2 linked regions of the Struthio camelus genome follow. The protein of the gene in region 1 purifies or fractionates together with the protein of each later gene. This does not show direct contact. Links are inferred from orthologs where the notes say so. Each region holds a gene or a part of one and is shown in the gene's direction. Other genes may lie near its edges. The genes, in order: BMS1 and RCL1.

Region 1 (10,816 bases):
CTGCATTAAAAAAAAAAAAAAAAGTATGAGGAAAAGGTTGTGCTGTTGTGCTGAGCTCTTCAGCGCACGCTCTGGAGGGAAACTTCTCCTCAAAGTCACTGTGAAGTGCACTGGAGTGTGGCCATGACCTTTAGCATGAGCAGTGATTTTTGATGCAATGTCTAGTAAAGCTGCTTTATTAATGACAGAATTCCCACTGGAAGGAATAGGAGTGCGGCTGTCTAGTTAAATAGGAAAGGCAAGGAATTGTTTTCTGCATGCTGTAAGAGCCGAGATGGTTTCGAGAGAAGGGACGAGCTGAGCAGCCCCCTATCCCTTCGCTGTTGAGGGATCTCCACGCGCTCAAGGGAGCCTGGCCTATTTGGAGCAATCCCATGGGGAGGCCAGATTGCCTTTACTGTTGGAAAGCATGGGGAGCCCTTTCCGAAGGCCGAGCTGAAGCGCAGAGATAACTCCGTTCAATTATCGACTCTCGATTAGACTGAAAGGAGCCTCCCGATGGGTTTGCGGTGGCGCTGGGGGAATAGGGGGCTGCAGGCGCTGGGCGACACGGCGGCTCCGCGGCGGGGCGCGACCGCGCTGTGTTTGGTGATGGGAGGACAATGGAGGTGGGGGCACCTCTGAGTCACCGCCGGCGGCCGCCGGCCCGGCCCGGCCCGGCCCGACCCGGCCCGGCCCGGCCCTGCCCTGCCCGCCGGGTGGGGGTCGCCGCCACCGAGGCCTCATAAGGCGGCAGCGGCCGGGCCGGCCCCGCCGCCGCCCGCCGAGCCGCCGCATGGAGCCCGCCGGCCGCCAGCGCAGCCCCGCTGCCGGTGGCGGTGCCGCTGCCGGTGGCGGCCCCAGCCCGCCGCCCCGGGGGCCGCCCAGCCCCGCCGGCGCCCCGCGGCCCGCGGCGCAGGGGCCCCAGCCCCGCGCGGAGCCGGCCGGGCGCGGCCGCGGCGCCTCGACGCCGCCGCCCGCCGCCGCCGCCGCCCCCTCGCCGCCCGCGCTGCCCGGCGAGGCCCCGCGGCGCCCCGGCGCCCCGCGGGAGGGCGGCCGGCGGAAGCGCACCACCTTCAGCAAGGCGCAGCTGGAGCTGCTGGTGAAGACCTTCGAGGAGGACCCCTACCCCGGCATCGCCGTGCGGGAGCGCCTCTCCGGCCTCACCGACATCCCCGAGTCCAGGATACAGGTCGGCGGCGGGAGGGAAGGGGCGAGCCGGGCCCGGGGCCGGGGCCGGGGCCGCGGCCGTCGAGGGTGGCCTCGCCGCAGCCGGCAGAGCGGCGCGGCGCGGCGGCCCGCCGGTGTCGCTGGGGGCACCGGGGACTGCTTGCGCTCTCACTGGCGATGCTGCGAGTGGCTAACGGCGAGGGGCCCCTTCGGGCGGTCGCCGCTGCTCATTGCCGTCTGCTCCCTCTCCCCAGGTGTGGTTTCAGAACAGGCGAGCCCGGCAGCTGAACCACAAGAAGAGCGAAGCCTCCCCCTACGCCAGACCTGTGGGTGGCAAGCAGAAGCTGACCCACTTCGGTGGCGGCTGCCGAGAAGGGCCCCGAGTGGCGCACGGTCTCGGGCCAGATCCGAGCCCCTTCGGCCTGCAGCCCGGTCTACCCGGGGGAAGTCAGAACTTCTCTGGTCAGCCGCTACCCTATGCGGGGCCGCAGTACGCAAGGCTCGATACTCATTTCAAGAGCTTGGATAACGCATTTGGAGGCCACAGTCAGACCCCTTCTCACTTCGATTTGGACCACATGGCAAAAGGGGTCCAATTCAGTGTGGGAACCATAGGGAGTTCTGCCCAGCTCTCGCTCCCTGTGCAGCAAGTGCAGGAATATCCATACCTGAAGAAATCTTTCCCTGAAAACTACTACACAGAGGCAGATATTTTCCAGTCATGTATAGAAGATCACCAGTACCTGGCAGCAAAAGAGAACATGTGTGGGAGGCCTGTTTTAAACTACTTAAATGCTAATCAAGGCCTGGGCGATGAGAACTATTTGTATATCAAGTCAAACACCTCTCCTTCGGGTAAGGGTTTCATTTCAGATTATGGTGAAGGAGCATCTAATGTGAAGCTTGAGCTTGAGCAGAGGAGGCACAGTCCATCCCTGGTTGCAGGTCATGATGCTAGTCCCCCTTCGGTACTTGCAAAACATGAGGGGAGATATCAAGGGACGCTTTCTCCTCCAGCCCCGTCATTTGGGCAGCAGCTGCTGGAGGCAGTAAATGACTATGACCCTTATTGGCTGGGCATGAGAAATGAAATTTGGGGAACTGGTTTAGATTCGGTGTTTGAGAATGAGCAAAATGGAGAGCAAGGTGGGCCAAAAAGTTACCTTTTTACTTTTGATGGCTACAGTTCAACCTGTCATTTGGGTCACACATGAAACGGTGACAGAGTCTGTTGGCCTGATGAAAACTTAATGTTTTTTGTTTGATTGGCAGTTTCATCCAAAGCAGCTAGAGGTTTTGCAGGTCCAAGTAGGGAATACTTGCTGTGTATTTTGTGTGCTGTCAGGAAGGGAAGGGAAGGAAGATAAGCAAACTTTGCGAGGCACACAAGCGAATAACCTGCTCTGTGCGTGTGCATCGTTCTTCCTTCCCCCCCCCCCCCCACCCTTCCCAAACCTACCTCAGTTGTCACCAAGCTGCATACAGTGTTCCTGCGTGCGTTTGATTGTTGGTACCCACACATTGACCTGTACAGCTCAGCTTGCATATTGTTCACAAACGTTTCAATAGTGAAGATTTAGTCTTTGATGTTCAAACTGGATTGGATTCATTCTGCCAGGAGGCTGGGGACTACAGAATGGGTTTTATGGCCTTACTGTACTGGTTTTCTGTTTCCATCCTGGTCAGAATTCACTTTAACATCGTGGTCAGAATTCACTTGAAGAAATCTGTAGAAAACAGATGTTATATTTACAGCTTTTGGTGGAGAAATTCTAACATGAAAGGGATACAGACATGGGAAAAGCATCCTTGGTGGTGGAAGGGGATGGGTCACAGGGTGTGTTAGTGTTTTAGGTGTGCTCCTGATTAAGTGCACTGCTGATCTTATAGTGTTTTTATTTAAAAATGACCAAATACGTAGCCTTTTGAAAGGCAATATTTTTGTAGTTTCCTTTTTGTATAATTTTTTCCGATTTTCTGATTGTATTAATATTTTAAATGAATTGTGTTAATTTAATAAGAAACCCTCCAGACAAGTTACTATTTACCTGAAGGAGGTTTTCTACCTGTGTGTGATAAGAACTTGTAGAATTTGACTCACAGAAAAATGTAATTGAGTCCTGTCCTTGTACTTCAGATGTTGGGCCTATTTTTAGACTTCTCAAGATCACTGGCTGTCTGGAAGCCCAACATGATCATATAGTGCTTCAACAAAGGAAGGCTGGGGGGGGGGATGTATAGATCGGGAGGGCTGCCATGACTGTGTATTAAAGCAATATTGGGGCTAGCATATTGAAGACTGTATGCAAATCCTTTCTTGTGCTCAAAGTGTGGCTCCGGATTAATTTAAGTAAGCCTTGATTTTAAGATGAATGCTATTAACCTAATTATTATGCTTCTTTTGTTCTATAAACAAAATCAAATGTAAATACAGACCATTATTTTATTAATAAAATTGATGTGTCTCTGAAGAAGCTGTCCATTGATGTGTATATAAGAAGCCAAGAGTATTAGTTGTTATCTTGTCCGTAATTTTTAGCTGTGGCTGGGAACAAATCACTCAACTTTTCAGCCCAGCTTCTTCATGTTTGATAACGTAGAGTTGGAAGGAGGTTTTTCTCTCATGTTATTATGGAAGATCCATCAGACAGGCTTCTCTGAGAGTTAAGTACAAGGTAATGTCTGTATTTCTGGTTGTATATATGACTGCCTTAGTAAATTCTTTAAAACTGTGTTATTAAGATTGACTTTTTTTTTTTTATATATGCCCTCTCCCTCGTTAAGATCTCCTTACTGGCAAGTGAGAATTGTTCCCAGGCACAAAGAACAATTGTACCCGAGAAAGATAACTGACAGAAAGTAGTGTTTGAGAGTGTGTAGCAGGGTAACAGCCTTACTTTATGAGATAGGGTTGAGTTAGTTAAAGAAGAAGAGAAAACGGACATCCAAAAGAATAGCACTCCCACTAAACAAACAAGGATGGGGGCCCCTGGTTCCTCCCTGGAATCAGCAGCGGGGTGGGAGGCAGCAACTGGGTCTTCTCGGAGTATCCTCCCCACTTATCTCAGTGCCTGATAACCAGCTCCCTCCCTCTTGATGATGCTCTGCAGGTAAATATTTGGGAGGTCACTGACAGAAATTGGCCTAAGCGAGCTGGGTCTCATGCAGTGCAGTGCATCCTGCTCTGTTTCCCCCGCTCTTTGTCTGCAGACGTCCTACTCTGTCAACACTCCCAAACCTGCGCCAAGGCCAAGACAAAGGTAGCTCAGTTAGGCATTTCGCATTAAGCTGTTGCTACTGGCTGCTGCAGTAGTACAGGGCTTTCCCACCCCTTCATGTGGTCTAGGGAAGAAACTTCACTTACTATCAAACTCGCGTTTCTAACGGTGAAGTGGAACGCACTGTGAATACTTCCCAGAAGCAAGTCCATGACAAATCATTCTCCCCTTGGAGAACTACTTACTGCACAGCATGGAGCTTTTCTGTAAGGAACTGAATGTCTTTATTTTGTTGCAAGTCGCTTTTAACTGACCTATCTAGCATATATAGCGCACAAATAAGAAAATACGTGCAGTGCAGCTAGATGCAGTGCTCTCCTGTGACAACTCTTTTAAAATTTCACATTCTTAAAAAATACTCATTAGTCTGAGAATGCCAGAGTACAGGTGACATGTTTATTCATCATGTTTATTCATGCATGTCAAAAGCAGTGCTGCTCTGGCATGAACAAATTATGCTGAGGAAGAAGAGGTGAGGCAGTAACCAGGTGTGTTGAGTGGTGTGACCTTCTGCTGCCCCTAGGATGGCTTTTGTTATAGGGGAGAGTTTTGCACGCTGAATATTTAAAGCTGTGTTGTCTTTCACGTAACTTGTCAAAAAAGAGGGAGCGTGGCGTTCCAGATACGCTAACTCGCTTTGTATTCCACCAGGCCCTAGCCCATTGTTAGGCCTCTGAGTCACTTATTCCCTTACTTTGTTGGGGCCTATAAAGCGCATTCCCGCCCCGAAACGTCCTCCCGCAGGGGGAACGGCGGCGGGGGCCGGCAGCCCCCGCGACGACGGGGGCAGCCCCGGCGCCCACCTCGCTGCCGCCCGCCCGGGGCTCCCCTGCCGGCCTCGGGAGCTGCCCGGCCCCGGCCCAGGGCAAACGGCCTCCTTGGCGTGGTGGAGCAGGGCCTGGACCTACAAATAACGTCAGGGGGACTGGCGTCAAGGCGCAGCAGGCACCGGCCCGAGATCAACAACCGCTCCTCGCTTTGCCCGAAGTGACTCCCGCACGCCCGGTCACCTCTCGGGGGCGGGGGGTGGCCCTGGCAGCGGGGAAAAAGACGACCGCTGTGTGGCGGGAGCCCGTAGCACTAAGCACCCTCCCTAGCCTCGGCATCCGCCCGCCCCCGTGGCCCTTGCCGACGGTTCCCGTTTTTAGCAAAAACCCGCGGGCAGCCCCCGGGGCGCTGCCCGGCCGCCCACCCTCCGCCAGGCCTGGCGGCGGCCAACCCGCCCCTCGCCCCGCTTCCGCCCCTCCGAAAACCGCCCCGTCCCCGCGCCCCGCGGCGGAAACACCCGGCCGCCGCCGCCGCGCCCGGCGGGACCCAGGGCACCGGCCGCCCCTCCCAAGGGGGCGCCCCCCCCCCCCGCCCCCCGGCAGCCCGCAGCCCGCTCCGCCCCCGGAACTCGAGGCGCCGCCGCTGTTTCCGGGCGGGCGCCGGCGGCGTGCGTGCCCGGCCGGCGGCCTTTCCGCTCCCCCCGGTCACCGTGCGGGGCCCTGGGCGGCGGCGGCGGCGGCGGCTCGGGAGGGCGGGCGGGCGGGCGGGCAGCGGGGGACCCTGGCGTTGGGGCGATGGAGGAGAAGGAGAAGAAGAGGCACCGGGCCAAGCAGAGCGGCCCCAAGGCCGAGAAGAAGCGGAGGCGTCATCTCAGCGCGGTGGGGGCCGGCGAGGAGCAGGATGCGCGGAGGAGGAACCCCAAGGCCTTCGCGGTGCAGTCCGCGGTGCGCAGGGCCCGCGCCTTTCACCGGTGAGACGGCGCGGAGGGGCGGCGGCGGCTTCCCTCTCTTGCCCTGGGTAGGGGCAGAGGCGGCGCGGCCTTCCCGGGGGGTGGGGGCGGCCCCGGCCCCGGTCCCGGTCGCGGTCCCGGTCCCGGTCGCGGCCGCCTGGGCCGGCGCCCCGGGGGGAGCTCGGGGGCCGCAGCTGGCCGGCCCCTCTGTAGCCCCTCCGCCTCGATAGGCGTCCCGCGTGTACGCAAGGTCTTGGGGAGTTTTTACCACAAGACCCTGCAGACAGCGGGCGCTGTTGGTTTCCAAGCTCCTCTTATGTTTATTTGTTACGCGTTTCTCCCCAGAACCCAGGATTTGAAGACGAAGAAGCATCACATTCCGGTGGTTGACCGCGCGCCTTTGGAGCCGCCTCCCGTGGTGGTGGTGGTGGTTGGCCCGCCGAAGGTTGGGAAGAGCACTTTAATAAGATGTCTCATTAGGAACTTCACAAGGCAAAAGCTGGTTGAAATCCGGGGTCCTGTGACAATTGTTTCAGGTAAGAACAAAGATAGCAGCAACGGAAACGCTGGCTTTGTACTCCTTCTTTGTCTTTTAGAGCTTGACAAAGAAGGGGAGTTTGTTCTTAGGACGTGGTCACGTTCCCGACGACTTTCAGTTCACGTGATTGTGTTATCAGACGTACATGCTAATGGCAAAAGAATAATGAGATCTGGGTTTTGGGGCACGTGCCCCTCTGTACTTGTTCCTTCTACCCTTTTGGGATCCCGGTTCTGTTTTTTTTCGTTTGTTTGTTTTTATTTTTTCTTCCTGGCTGCTTGTCCACTTTCTTCATTCCAGATTTTTTGCAGGTTTTCCTTTTCTACTGGTTCTATTTTCCCTTCTATTTCCCTTTGATATTGGAATCCACTCTTTTTTGAAGGCTAGAACAGGACGGGATATTTCATAATCCTTTTCAAACGGACAGACGTGTTTGGTAAGATGAAATCCATGGTACTAACTCTGGGGCACTAAAGATAAAAGAAGAGGTGACCAGAAGTTTTCTTTAAGTAAGAAACTTTTTTTTTGTTGTTGTTAACTGTGTTTTTGGAAAAGGCAGAGCATCTTCTTTGAAAAGATGAGGTCCACTTGATAATTTGAACTAAAAGGTTAAAATTTAGCAGAATTATAAACAGTAGAAAAAGGCACTTCTGCAATGGCAGGTGTTTGGCAATTTGACTAGACAAGAAGCCGAGTCTCAGGTAGTTTTTAGGAACTTCAGGAGTTCGACCTGAAAAAAAAAAAGTGAACTACTTAGTTTGCTTCCTCTGTTTCAGTTTTTGCTTTTTCTTAATTTTGTTTTCAGGTAAAAAGCGCAGACTAACTATTATTGAATGTGGATGTGACATTAACACAATGATTGACCTGGCTAAAGTTGCTGATTTGGTAGGTAACCAATAGCACATGATTTCTAGTATAATTTATATTGAAAATAGTTCTTTTTGACTAGGCTATGTATGACTAGACATAGGTGACTAGGCACCTACCTCTGATCTCTCCACCCATTGCCATCAGAGGCAAAACAGTCGTCGGTTTCAGAGGGAACAAAAGTAAGCTTGACAACAAACCTGATTTTCTGTAGCAACACAAGTAACTCATAGGCCCTGCTTTTTTGGTTTTGTTTATTTGTTTTTATGGTTTTTTTTTTTAATTGAGGGGAGGATGGGGTAGAAGAGAAACGCATCTAAACTTTATTGCTAATACAACTTGTTAAAAGATCTTCCGTTAAAAGATGACAAGCCAAGATGATAAAGTGGCTGTTCATTAAGCAGTGTGGTCAAATCATGTGAAGTCTGAAAACGTTTTTAATTCAAGAGGTTTTCAACTAAAGTATAAAATGAAAGTATGTGTATATATATATATATATATATATATATGCTTCTGTAGTTGATTTTTCTTTGATGTGCTCCAGGTCTATCTTTGTGTATTAATATGACTGATTTCAGTGGAGTGTGGTCATTCTTTTATTTTACTCATGGCTTTTAGTTCAGTGACTCAAGCCTACTGATCTTGAGGACCCAATGCACAATCCATTTGTCTACTCAAATTTCTACTTTATATGTGGATTTAGAGCCTGTTTTTGTTCAGAGCTGATTAGGTCTTGGGCTCCTTAGCTAAACGTTAACTAAAATGCATCAGCTGATTCAGATATTTTTCTCCTTATGTTTTCTACTTGAGGGAGTGATATGTATTAAACACGCAAAACTTTTACTAAATAGGTGTGGCAGATGTTTAGGATTCTGAACGCACATGATTGTGCTGAGAATCTTGCTTGGTTTTATTGTTATGAGGCTGAGATTACATAATTGCCTGCGGATCATTGTTTTTGGTCCTATGCATTTTAGGATCATAGGATACTATTTCCCCATGCCAGTCTCTTTTAGTGATGCATAACAGTAGTCGCAGTGTGTGAAGAAAGTTTATTTGTCTCACTTTACCAGAAGACTGTTGTAGAGGCATTAGTGCACCTAAAGTAAAGTTATCCAAAATGGTGGGATTTTTACTAATTTACTATGACATTGCTACAAATATTGGAAGATGCTCAATTTTTGCATATTCTGAATTCACCAAGTAAACATTATTCACCACCCTATTATGATACTATATATTACTGTATTCATAGAGGAGATTTATTTTTATTCTTTAGTTTTTCTGGAAGGAATAAGCAAATCAAAACTACATAAAGGAGATTTGATTGGAAGAAGAGACTTGATTTTTTTCTAAGCCCTGCTAGCTTTTAAGGCAGCTAAGATGCACATTTTAATTTAAAAGCCAGGTTATATGAAAATAAAGAACAGAACCGCATGCAATATTTTGGTGCCCAAGTTTATGACTTAAAAAGCTTGATCTTTGAAATTAGCTCATGCAGGCATCATGGTCTTGTTAAAGTAAATGCTGATGTTATGCTTTCAGGTTTTAATGCTCATTGATGCCAGCTTTGGATTTGAGATGGAAACATTTGAATTCCTGAACATTTGTCAGGTGCACGGCTTTCCCAAAATCATGGGAGTTCTTACCCACCTGGATACGTTCAAGAACAACAAGCAATTAAAGAAGACAAAAAAGAAGTTAAAACACAGATTCTGGACTGAAGTATATCCGGTATGACATTCGACGGATGTTTTATGTATATTTTGCAGTATGGAAATTAACTGGAAAGTAGGGAAATACTTAAATATTTAAATTTATTATATTCTTATACCTTTTAATAATACTATAAGCGGACAATTCTGATGTTATCAGGCTAAACAAGTGATGCTAGAAAAAATGTTTGTTACTTGCAGGTATTATGCAAGGAAGATCAGCATCTAGGTCTGGAAAACAGGTTAACCTTTTGTACGAGGTTTTGGCTGTGAATTGTTTTCCCTAACAATTTGGGGGCAATGTTCATTTTAAGGTAAATTAATTAGTTTCCATCTTCTAGAACCAATTGTTAACTTACGACTTGCAATTATGATATCCAAATTAGAATTGTTTTTGTTTTGTTTCAATTTTATCGTTATTTAGTTTATGTTTAATGTTAATTTTTTATGTATTTTTAATATGTTTAGGGTGCTAAGCTATTTTACCTGTCTGGGATGGTTCATGGAGAATATCAAAAGCAGGAAGTTCACAATTTAGGGCGTTTTATCTCGGTTATGAAATTCCGACCTCTTACGTGGCAAACTTCTCACCCGTATGTTCTTGCAGATAGGTACGTGCTTTTCTTTTTTCCGCAATCTCAGTAAGGCAGCACCTTATTGGTTTTATTAACATACTTCTTTAAACAATCAGCTCTGTGTGTGTAATGATTATTTAATTTTATCTAAGATACTGTGACTATGTTCTACTATATACCTAGATGGTTTTGAGGAAATGAAGGCGTACTTTGCAGGTCTGTGCCAATAACTTTGGCTGTTCAATTTCTACTTGCATCAGATTGTACACATAGACCTTTGCTGTACTGTAAAACCTTTTGAAGCACAGAAAAAAACATTTTAAATAATCCTGCTTGTTGATGATGTTGAATTTCTCTGGAAAAGAATTATTAAATTGAATTGTAGCAGTTTAACAACAGCTGGTGAACTAGTCCTCTGTGTTCCCTGCAGTGTCTCTTCTGCTCAATCCCCATGCGTAGTGTTTGATTCAAGGTCTCTGTTTGGAATGTGAAAGTACACTTGAAGGTAGACTTGGCTGTGTCTACCCAAGAAATTACTTCTCCCTTCACGTTTCCTTGCCAGAATGCTTACGTGTATGACTAAAGTCTCACAGGAATTCAAGGTGCCTGGAACGCGTTTCTTTCAAAGCTCTAAATCTTTTAAAAAAAAAAAAAAAATTGGTGGAGAAGTAGATAAGCATCACGCAAAGTCCCATAATAGGCATGAAGCAAAGAAAGGAGCAAAGGGGGAAAAAATATTCAGTTGTCTTTCAATAATAGTTGTTTTAAGTTACTATAGCTGTTACAATTCTTTTGGTCTTTAGGCCAGTTAAGCCAAGGTAAGTGCAGGCTACATCCAGAACGTGTCCCCGTCCTCGGCTGCTCACCATGTGCAGGCACGATCACTGGTGCAGTGCACAGAGGAGCTCTGGAAGGAGTTTTGATCTCATCTGGCTGAAAACTGCCAGTCTTCCCCTCTCTTCTTCCTGCCAGTTTTT
Region 2 (10,694 bases), on another chromosome or scaffold:
CTGAACCTTAGATACAAGAAGCTACCTGCTCAGAGTACCTCATGCATCTGCATTTCCTATCTAAAGAATCAGGACAAGACCTAAAGCCTTCCTAAAAAGACAGCTGTTCTCCATTACTCCTAGAAATGTCCAGCCTCGGGAACAAGGCAGGAAAAATTTACTCTTACATTGCAGAGAGCAGTGTTAAGAGTAACTGAGAAGGATCTGGACTTTTCTCCATGCAAATGGAGAAAGGACACAGGATTTTTATTTAATAGGCACTGCAGAGCACAGAAGCAAAAGGAAGGAAGAATAAATGCATTAAAAACATCATAGTCCTTGTTTTGGATAAAGTGCAGGAGACAAACCACTGCAGTAATTTCCATCTTGTTTTTTTAAGAAAAGATTACACATCCCTGAGTTTCAGATTCTCTCAAATATATGCAGAACATAAAAAGAACATTGTGACAGGTCATTCTCATCATTAAATGTGATTAATTCTTATCCTTCTGCAAGAAGAAGAGTTTATACCTGAATAATATGATAATATCAGACCCACAAGCTTTCATGGTTGTGTCATACGCTCACTGTGCAGCTGCCAACTGGAATGCAGCCCTGTGACAGACTGCGTATTTAAAAAATAATGTATTTCAGTACAATTTGGCTTATAGCATGGCTCCAAGTATGAAAAAAGCTCAAATGGCAGTCTTCCTAACCTCGCCCTTTCTGTTCTCAGCTGGTCCAAAATATTGCACTTTACAATCTAGGTTGACTCCTAAGCTTACCAAAAGAAGGTGTATCGCTTTGTATCTTCAGCTCTAAAAAGGCTTCATTCACAGAGATGAGCAAACATTGCAAATCTAGTGTCACATTTGAGCTGTAGGAAAAGTTATTTTCTCCTGCCAGTTAGTTGTTATCATGTGCTTCACATCACCATCCCTGTATAACTTGTAATGCAGTCAGAAAAAGGTGTTCCCCCCGCCCTGTTTGTGATATTAGAGCAAACAGCCTTACGAAGAGAATTGTGTGACTATGTACACACAGGGCACAAAATTTGGGACAGATGTTTCGTCAAAAAGAGCCAAAGCTGGCATTTATTAGTATTCCTGTTGGTAGTTTGCGAAACATTTACCTTGAGGGTGAACTACAGCAGTTAATTAAACTAATCAACAGCGAAGAGAGCTGTTTAAAGTTGCTTTAAGTAGGAAGTCATCAGAGGCAAAACGAATTGGAGATGAGATAAACCAAGTAGACAGTATATTGTTACTGAGAATCCCTACGCATAAGGACTCCTGAACTGTCTCGACCTTACCACACGGTACATTCCAATTTTTAAGTGAAGTTACTACGTCCCAATTAACAAGGTTCACGGGCGAGACCTTTTCAGTTATGAATGGCTCTATCAACTTTTTTTTGGTAGTTTTACATGATACATTGGAAGATTAACTTTGCTTCAAGGCTCGACTTGCCTCCCCATAAAGATTCCCATTCCAAATCCATCATATGTATTTGATTCAAACAAGCAGCTGCTCTAACACCTGAAAGACTGAGCTCTTGAATACTGTTGCCCATTAACACTGTACACAAGAAGTTCTCTGTCCAGCCATAGCTGGGGTTATTATACTGATTTTGCAGGAGAGTCCCCTTATTTCAGTAAACTCAAGTTTACCAAAGGCTTCTTTACCAGTTACGTATGCACCATCATCCCATGTTTGCATGGGTAAAGCATAGCAGTTTCTTTGAGGTAAAACGTAAGGCAAGAAGGAGGTTTTCTGATGTTTTGACTGACAGCTACATCAGTTGTGTTCCTTTAGGTCTAGTCATGCCCCTACAGATTTGGGGATAGGGGGAAAATGAAAGCCCTCTACCAGTTCTTCAGAATGTAGGCAGAGACATTCCTTTATTACCTAATAATCCTTTATTATAATATTTCTTTATTATGCACAGCACTGTTAGCCTTCCATAGCCTTACAGACAGCGCATTGAGACCATATACACCCTGATAGTCGCACCTTCCACCTCTTGCTTTTGGTCCAACAGGCTTTCTCAGCAGGAACTTCCTATTCTCACTTCCCTGCTTCCAGCTAGGGAGTTACTCTTTCTTCTAAAGAAAAGAGGGACCTTTTCCCTACATTGCTTACAGTCTGCTCACAGATGGCCAGGGAGCCTCCCCATCACCTCTTAAGAACTTCACAAAGCCAGTTCCATTAAGGGAATTGAACCCGCTACCACTCTCCCCAGTCTTCAGCCTGTTCTGCTCAGGTAAGTTCCACGTTGCTATCCTAGCTAATCCTTGAAAGACCCACCCACTCCTCCCTGTTGCGCCTTTCTTTAGTTGTCCCCATGACACATACCCCACCCCCTTCTAAATAGATCCAGCCCTCCTTTGGATCCTCCTTGTCTGACTGGAAATGCTGTACTGACTCACCACGTGCGCTGACCTGACAGTTATAAGATCTGACTTCTAGTAGCTCTGGTGCTGATGTCGGTTAAGTGCTTCTCAAATTTTTCTTTCATCATGTCTCTCTGCTGGAATTTCAGAGGAGAAAAGCTAGTGCACATAGCACAGTCACAATCAGATCTTGGTTAAGGCTTAAAAGTGCCAGTAATAGAAATAATAACATAACACAGAAAGACTCGACACTTCTGTAATATTGTATTATTTCCCTTGCTCAGCCAAGGAATTTCAGTTGGTTGCTTCCTCACCTCAGGTTACTAAGGAGGAGCTACTGCAAGATAAGACTCCAGTTCATTAAAAAATATATAAAGAAAAAAGAAAAAAGAACAGCAGCAACTTTTCTTCACAGTTCTTGTGGAGATAAGCGTATCAAAGGGGATGCGAATAGCTCGTGAGCCTCTCATGAGTTAGCACCAATTATCTGATGTGGATTCTCACTGCTAAAAAGTCTGCACACATATAGAATTGATTTTATTTCAAAAAGACCTTTGTAAGACGGATAAAAGGCCTTGCTGAGTGTCTACTATGATGTCCTGGTGACTGTAATCTTGCAATGCTCCTTACTACAATAATGAATGTGTGACTAAGCAGGTGAAAAGTGGTTCTTAGCTGGAGTCAACATAAAGGACAGAAGGAAAGATTAACACCACAGAAATCAAATGTTAAACTTTTCCTGCACTCTCATCCACCATAGCAGCTCAGGGACAAGCAAAACTGTGACTAGCTCATCACTGACCATTTTTGCTGTGATTCAGAGGCATATTTTACCTGCAATCTGAAAGAAAGCAGGAAAAAATAAATGTAGATGTGTGGGGGTGTATTTGCACTGCTTCCACAGAAGTTGCAATGCAGTTTCCATGGCTGCTAGTAAAGACAAAGATTATCTTCTGAGGATCGTATTAGCCAAATTGTAACAAATATTACACTAGAGGTAGTTTGGAGGTTGGTTTCTCCAATATACTAATGATTCCTATCAACACTAATCAGAAAAGCTTTGCCAGTCAGCAGCTAACAAGAGGATGTCTAGTCATAGTTGCTGCGAAGAGTCCCTGTCACGGAAAAAAAAAAAATTCAGTCTCTGGGAAACAACCTATTCAGAAAAAGTGTTATCAGGTTTTATGGAAAATATCAGTCCTTTTCTCTTCCGGCCTGTGTGCTCTCACAGCATGTGGTCCTTCACAGTAAGAGCATCAAGAAAAGGCTGAGCTCCTCTTTTGTTCTGTGCTACAGGGATACTGAACACACAGAGCTGCTTTAGTTCACAACAGCGGCTGCTTCACCTTACGTTCAGCCAAATACCCAAGTAGTATTAAGAGGTTTAAAGCCCCTTTTGATGTCTTCCTCCCTGAGTATATCTTCTGAGTTGCTGTATAATCCTAGAGGATCTTAAGGCATAGATGTAACTTATGCTCTATCTAGAACATGTCTACATTTTATAGAAATATCTTACATTCAACAGGATTTTTCTGCAGAAGGATAGCTTTACAGAGAATACAGGAGAGAATGAGGAACAGGAGTGCTGTGTACAGTAGAAATAAAAAAATGGTGGACCTCTCCATTCCCTTGTAACTCTGGATGAATACACTGTATCAGTTCATATGATTAGGGATGAATTTTTTTGCTCTAATTGCAGAGAGTGTCACTGAGAACAAGAAGCCAGTGTTTCTTGCATTAGAGATGATTGTCATTGTTTTGCATCAGAGATGATGCACTCAAGATGACTGTCAGGGCCTTAAGTGCACCAGCAGGCCTCAATGGCCCTCGCCAACCTCACCTGGGACCTTCACCCACGTACTCTGTCCATGGGCTGAGGAAACTCTCTTTAAGCTCAGGTCTGGGCCTTCAGTCCTTGCTTGAGCTATGCTGTAGGTGTACCTATCTCCAGTCCCACCTCCGGGGTGGGCCTCAGGCCTATGTCATAAGCCACAGATACACATCTGCCTCCAGTCCTGTCTCTTAGATGGACCCCTTGTTGTAGGTAGCTTGTCTCTAGTCCTGGCTCCTGGATGGACACCTCAGACTTGTATCATAGCATTGTTCCTCGCTCCACTGCCCGCTGTGCCTGACAGGACTCACTGGATGGATCCTGGACCTGACAGATAATTTTCCCTTGAGCGCGACTGTCAATGGACCCTATCACAAGCATCCTGCTCTGCCCACCATGTTCAGGTGCTGTGGAACTGCACCCTGGTCTGTGCCCCCCCTGTGCTGTAGTCACCCTCAGCCCCGGGTTCACTCTCCCTTGAGGAGCAGCCCAGCTCTTCCAGCTCCCTGACAACAATCTGTCGTCCACAGCAGCATACAGATTGTATTTAACCAAGGATGAGATGTGACATGAGACATCAGCAAACACTCCATTCATAATGAAAAGAAAGCTACAAAGATGCAGCTACAGATGCGTGCTATAAAGCACGAGAGAAACGAAATGGAGTGTATTCGTCGACACAATTCAGTGGGGATCACTCTCACCCCTTTTCTTCTCTTTTATAAAACAAGAAACTTCTTTCCCTGTGTACATAACACAGTCTAGCCATTAACCCTGTTACGTCTACTGTAATTCATGTACCTCTTGAAACAGACTGAAAGCCTCCCTCGGCCTCTTACGTAAGGGACGTTGGGTTGTGCCGCTACAGTTGAGGGAACAGCTTGGGCAGAAGATCAGAAATCAGACCAAATTCCTCCAAGTGTGGAGCATGAAGCTGGCATCTCTGCTTAATTTTCCTTTAACCAGTACAATATTTCATCTGAACAAGGCAGCCAGGGATAAACTACCGAAAAGAATTGTCTGAAGAAAGATAGATTAATTTAGTCTTCTCTAGGGAGAGTATCCTGATCTCGTACCACATTTCATTCCAGGATTTAATTATTCACCTGTCAAAAAACAGAGGACTCAAATGTCCCAGAGAAGTTGAATTGTTCAGAAATAAAGCACGGCATAACAGCACGGATAAAACATAGAGCCACGTAACAGTTAGATAAACTCCAACCTCCAGCAAAAAATAAGCATATACAGCACAAACGCTCAAAGAGGCAATAACTACTACTTAAATATCGCTTAAGCTGTGCCTCCGATAACAGCGCTTCACGCAGGAATCGCAATTTATTACTGTGGCAAACTCCCTACGCTGGCAAAGCCGTGCTTGCCAGGAGAAGCCGGCGCACCAGCAGCGCGCAGCCCCGCCGGCACAGCCGCAGAGGTGGCGCACACAGCTCCCTCCTCACTGCCAAACTGCCGCTCCCCAGCTGGAGCTGACTGCGATTTAACAGGTTATTCCGACGGCTCCTACCTTCGCTTTTACTACTCTCGCCAGGAAACCACCCCGGGGGAAACAACGCCGCTCACGCTTTACGGACTGACTCCGGCGGGGCGGCGGCAACGGCCGCCGCCGCCCAACGGCCGCCGCCGCCCAACGGCCGCCGCCGCCCAACGGCCGCCGCCGCCCAACGGCCGCCGCCGCCCAACGGCCGCCGCCGCCCAACGGCCGCCGCCGCCCCGCCCCGCCCCCTCGCCCTGTGACCCCCGCGCTGTCGCGCGCGGCGCTTCCTGTTCCCAACCACGTGGGCTCGGCGGGCGGCGGCGGCGGCGGCGGCAGGAGCGGGACGGCCAGCGCAGGGGGAGCGCAGCGCAGGGGGAGCGGGCGGCGGGGGCGGCATGTCGGGCCGCTCGCAGTGCCTCAGCTACGCGGGCTGCAACTTCCTGCGGCAGCGCCTGGTGCTGTCCACGCTGAGCGGGCGGCCGCTGAAGATCCGCAAGATCCGCGCCAAGGAGGAGGACCCCGGCCTCCGCGGTGAGCGGCCGGTACCGGCAGCGGCGCCGGCAGCGGCGCCGGGGCGGGCAGGCGGGCGGAGGGGCCGGGCACGGCAGGGCAGTGCAGCGCAGCGCCGCAGCAGCGGCCCGGCCGCCTGGTCGTGCTTGCCCGGCGCGGCGGCGGCAGCGGCGGCGGCGAGGAGGCACCGGGGACGAGCCAGCCCGCGGCGGGGAAGGGGTGCGGGCACCGTGCGGGGAACGGCCGCGGGCACAGCGCCCTGCTCTCCCCGAAACCCCCACCCGGGCGGGAGGACGAGCCGGGGTGTCCTGGGGGTGCGAGGGTAACGGGGGTGTCCTGGGGGTGCGAGGGTAACGGGAGTGTCCGGGGGTGCGAGGGTAACGGGGGTGTCCTGGGGGTGCGAGGGTAACGGGGGTATCCAGGGGGTGCGAGGGTAGCAGGGGTATCTGGGGGTGCGAGGGTAACGGGGGTATCCAGGGGGTGCAAGAGTAACTGGGATATCCAGGGGTACAAGGATAACTGGGGTGTCCAGGGGGTGTGAGGGCAACCAGAGTATCTGGGGGTGTGAGGATAAGTGGAGTATCCAGGGGGTGTGAGGGCAACCGGGGTATCCAGGGACAAACAGATTATCTGGGGCCAGGACAGTGCGGTTGAGCGGGGCAGAGTGCTGGTGGCAAAATTTCCAGGGGCTGTGCCTGGGGCGCGAGATTCCCTCCGCTTTTCCTCCGTAGCGACGGGGATGGAGCCGGCAGCGGCCGAGGGGTCTCCTGCCCGCAGGAGGGAGCAGTGCGGAGCGTGTGGGGCCTGGGGATGTGCGGCGAAGGGGCCCGGACGCCCCGGGGATGGTGGCAGAGACCAAGGCAGAGCGAGCGGGTGGCTGGGGAGGCGAACGCCTTGTGGGCAGCTTTAGTCATGTGTGCCGGCGGTGGTGGGATTGGACGTGGCCTCGAAAGCCTCTGGACCTTCCCGTGCGGCTGCGTTTGCCCACTCACAGGCCTGCCTTGTTTGTGGGGCAGACTGCATCAGGTAACTGGGTAATTCTGGCTTCCCTGCCCCGCTGAGCACTTCTGCAGAGGGCTGGCTCTGTGCTCCCAGGCCACTCCAGCTGGTTTTCCTTGCAGTGAGGCATCGGGCATTGCAGGCAGGGCGACAGGGGGAGATCCCGAGGGTGAGCCTGAGCCACTGGACTGCACATGGACTACATGGCCAGCTCCAGCACGGGACAGTTTCTGTATAAAAGTGGGCTCTCTGCTCAAAAGCTGCAGGACTTGCTGGCCCTGCAGCCGTCCGTGGTTGCCCTGTACCCAACGGCTTTCTTTCTGTCTCTTTGTTGGAGCCAAAGTTCCAGCAATTTTACTGGATCGGAGTTTATTCCTTGACTTTTATCTGTTCTATGGCCAAATAGGAGTAAAGGTAACACGTTACAATACTTCTGCAGTTGGTAATAAGTAATATCTAGTCATTCCTACGGCCATGACAGTGGCAGTCAGGAGGGCCAGCTATCTCAGATACATCACTTAGTTCTTTTTTGGGCAAGCTGCAAAGTGGAGAACAGGCCTAGCACCTGCACAGGTACTCCTGAGAAGGCTTCAGTTCGTAGCCAGAAGTTTTCCTGTTAAACTTTCAAAACACTCTTATGTACTTAACATTTACCAAGACCCCAAGTATTTATTACTACCATGGAGTGTTTGCTTGTGATGAAGGTAGTTTTTGCTATTTTTTTAAATAGGTGAGTTATATTTTCCGAGCATGGGTTAAAATACAAACTGTGACTGTAGCAGAAAAAGCACAATAACAAACCCTAATTAGTGTTGATATTACAGACTCACAGAATCGCAGAACGGTTGAGGTTGGAAGGGACCTCTGGAGATCATCTAGTCCAACCCCCCTACTGAAGCAGGGTCCTCCAGAGCACATTGTGCAGGATCATGCCCAGGCAGGTTTTGAATATCTCCAGCGAAGGAGACTCCACAACCTCTCTGGGCAACCTGTTCCAATGCTCCGTCGCCCTCACAGGAAAGAAGTTTATTAAACATGCAGCGCTCTCTGCTTTTCATAGCTAGAGCCTTTGCAAGGAAAACTTTTATATCAGTTTGTCCCTGAAGAGGGTAGCAGCTATTCATGAGGATGTGCTTCCTTCCTGGAAGTGATTTCAGAACTATCATGTAAAGCTGAGCGTACAAATTCTCAGGGCAGAGAGCAGAACCAGTGCTGTGTGTCTGCGTCATCAAGCATACTAGGCTTGATTAACAAACTGTAATTCCTGCAAATAGCTCATTGGTTTAAATGTTTATTGCATCCTAGAAGCATACATAGGAATAAAAATCTGATAGCTGGTTAAGGACTACTGTAGCATTACTGCTAATGAAGTTGTACAACCAATTCACAATTACGCAGGTGCTGGTGGCTCTTAAAATTAACTGATTTTTGAGTTATATTTAAACTGTATTTTCCTTGATAGTGAGGGTCTGCCAACTTAGGATACCTAAATACTAGAATACTAACATTCCTTTTTTCATGCTTGTTTCTTTCCCGTGGCTCTGAGAGAGATCCTGCACAAGCAGGAGAAACTCAGTATTTAGTTTCGTACAAGGTGCTACAATGCACATTCTAAGACGAAAGAGAGGTAACGGGAAGACTTGTATTTCTCTAGCCTTTATTGCGTCATTAATGGTTTGGGAAAAGTCAAAAGTCTGTGGACAGATATCATGACGGTGTTTTTGGAACAGCTGTATACTTTACATCTGAAGGTCAGCTTCTTTTCAAATAAGACTTCTACAAAAAATAATGGGAAGCTTCTCAGGCCTAAATGAACAGGGTCCTGTTTGCTAGAATTTGTGCATATGTGCAAAGGTGACCTTTCTACTAACTAAAAAGGCTTTATGCTGGGCACCAGTGACCCCTCAGACCACTGTGATCAGATGTGCCAGCTCCCATACCTCGCTGTAAGCAGGGGAGAGCGACATGGCTCATCCCATGGTCACATCTGGGTGCACCTGCACTGATTTGAGAGGCCCATGAGACTCAAATTTAGGCCTCTGCATTTATAGTCAAGTGCCCTTTTCCATGTGGCAGAATTGCACTGCAACAATCAGAAGAGTGAGGGTAGTCTTACTGTCTTCCAGAGAGTGTCATGGATGGCCGGAAAGGGAAAACGTATAGGTATGGTATGTTATGTGTTGAAGTTTCTTATTGTTTTCAGGAACATGTTTAAGAAACTTTAAAATTCTTTTTTTTTTGCCTCCTCAGATTTTGAAGCAAGTTTTATTCGCCTCATTGACAAAGTGACCAATGGCTCTAGGATTGAAATAAACCAAACAGGTGAGAGCTTTCTTCTCGTCTTCCTCTGTGCTGGTCTACCAGACTCTATCATGTGCTGCAGTAAAAGAAAAGTTTTGGCTTGCCAGGGCTGAGTATGTTAGATAGCTTGGTACGAAAGACCAAGCAGACCAGACATAATCAGGCTGAGAAGTTCTGTAGCGGTAGATCACAGGCAAGAAGAGCATGTTCCACCATAATGCAGCGAGTCAAGGAAAACGCGTTGCTCGAGACTTTAAATTTTCTGTTCTGTTTGATATGCAGGATTTCCTAGTGGAGGAAGATTCCTCTGAACCAGAAGGGGTTTTTGTAGAAGGCAAGGTTTGTACTTGCCTAGTCATGCTCGAAAGAGGAGTTAGCTGGACGGAGAAGCTTCCGACGGAGATATCTCAACGGGTTTTTGTTCTCTTGTATAATGTTACAGGGACTTCTAAGAGTTTCATAGGGTCAGTAGAGCAGATAACCTACCACTAGGTGCGCTGGGATGGCAATGACCTGCTCTGGTAAAGGTTCGGCTGCTGTGGAAGTATGACAGTGGCCTCCGTAAGCATTTTTTGTCATGATTAAAGGATTCTTGACATGGAAGAAGTGTGCTGGAAGCGCTACCTGCCTCATATGTTCTTTTGTCTCCAGTTTGCTGGTACTCATCACTGCAAAGTATCTTTACGCTGTAGTCGTGGCTGGTGCGCTGACAACACTCTGATACGATGTCTTCCCCCAGGTACAACCTTGTATTATCAGCCTGGTCTTTTGTATGGAGGTTCCCTGGAACATGACTGCAGCCCCAGTCGCAGTATTGGCTATTATTTGGAAAGTCTGCTCTGTCTAGCACCTTTCATGAAACACCCATTAAAGATTGTCCTGAGGGGAGTAACAAATGATCAAGTAGATCCTTCGGTAAGTAATGAAAATTTATTAAGTGGCTAAAGAGGATTTTTTTCCTTCTTCATCTCAATCGAAAAAAGAAAGTCTCCAAATCCTATTGCATTTTGTAATTTCTCACAACCAGCAGTATCTAGTATTATTGTATGAGCCAGCAAGCTCTCTGAATCAAACAAGCATCTTCTGGTCTGTCCACTTTCTGCTTCGTACTCCAAACTGTAGTTTGTAATCCATGTTTGGACGTTCATTTCTGGGCAGCTTCTCCTTTCTTCAGTGGAAGCTCCCTCTGA

The links.
Region 2: the proteins of BMS1 (region 1) and RCL1 purify together in Homo sapiens (co-immunoprecipitation; 4 studies listed by BioGRID and IntAct, with this or other methods). This does not show direct contact. The link is inferred for Struthio camelus from reciprocal best matches to the Homo sapiens genes BMS1 and RCL1.

The regions. Positions count from the first base shown.
Region 1 is NC_090948.1:30,463,552-30,474,367, forward strand, and holds the start of BMS1 (ribosome biogenesis protein BMS1 homolog), read left to right. Parts: upstream 1-5,842; 5' UTR 5,843-5,989; coding exon 5,990-6,165; intron 6,166-6,489; coding exon 6,490-6,680; intron 6,681-7,487; coding exon 7,488-7,567; intron 7,568-9,094; coding exon 9,095-9,283; intron 9,284-9,732; coding exon 9,733-9,875; intron 9,876-10,816. UniProt on the Homo sapiens protein: GTPase required for the synthesis of 40S ribosomal subunits and for processing of pre-ribosomal RNA (pre-rRNA) at sites A0, A1, and A2.
Region 2 is NC_090982.1:18,267,037-18,277,730, forward strand, and holds the start of RCL1 (RNA 3'-terminal phosphate cyclase-like protein), read left to right. Parts: upstream 1-6,047; 5' UTR 6,048-6,089; coding exon 6,090-6,225; intron 6,226-9,329; exon of another isoform or gene 9,330-9,341; coding exon of another isoform or gene 9,342-9,366; intron 9,367-9,453; coding exon 9,454-9,525; intron 9,526-10,243; coding exon 10,244-10,419; intron 10,420-10,694. UniProt on the Homo sapiens protein: As part of the small subunit (SSU) processome, it plays a role in 40S-ribosomal-subunit biogenesis in the early pre-rRNA processing steps at sites A0, A1 and A2 that are required for proper maturation of the 18S RNA.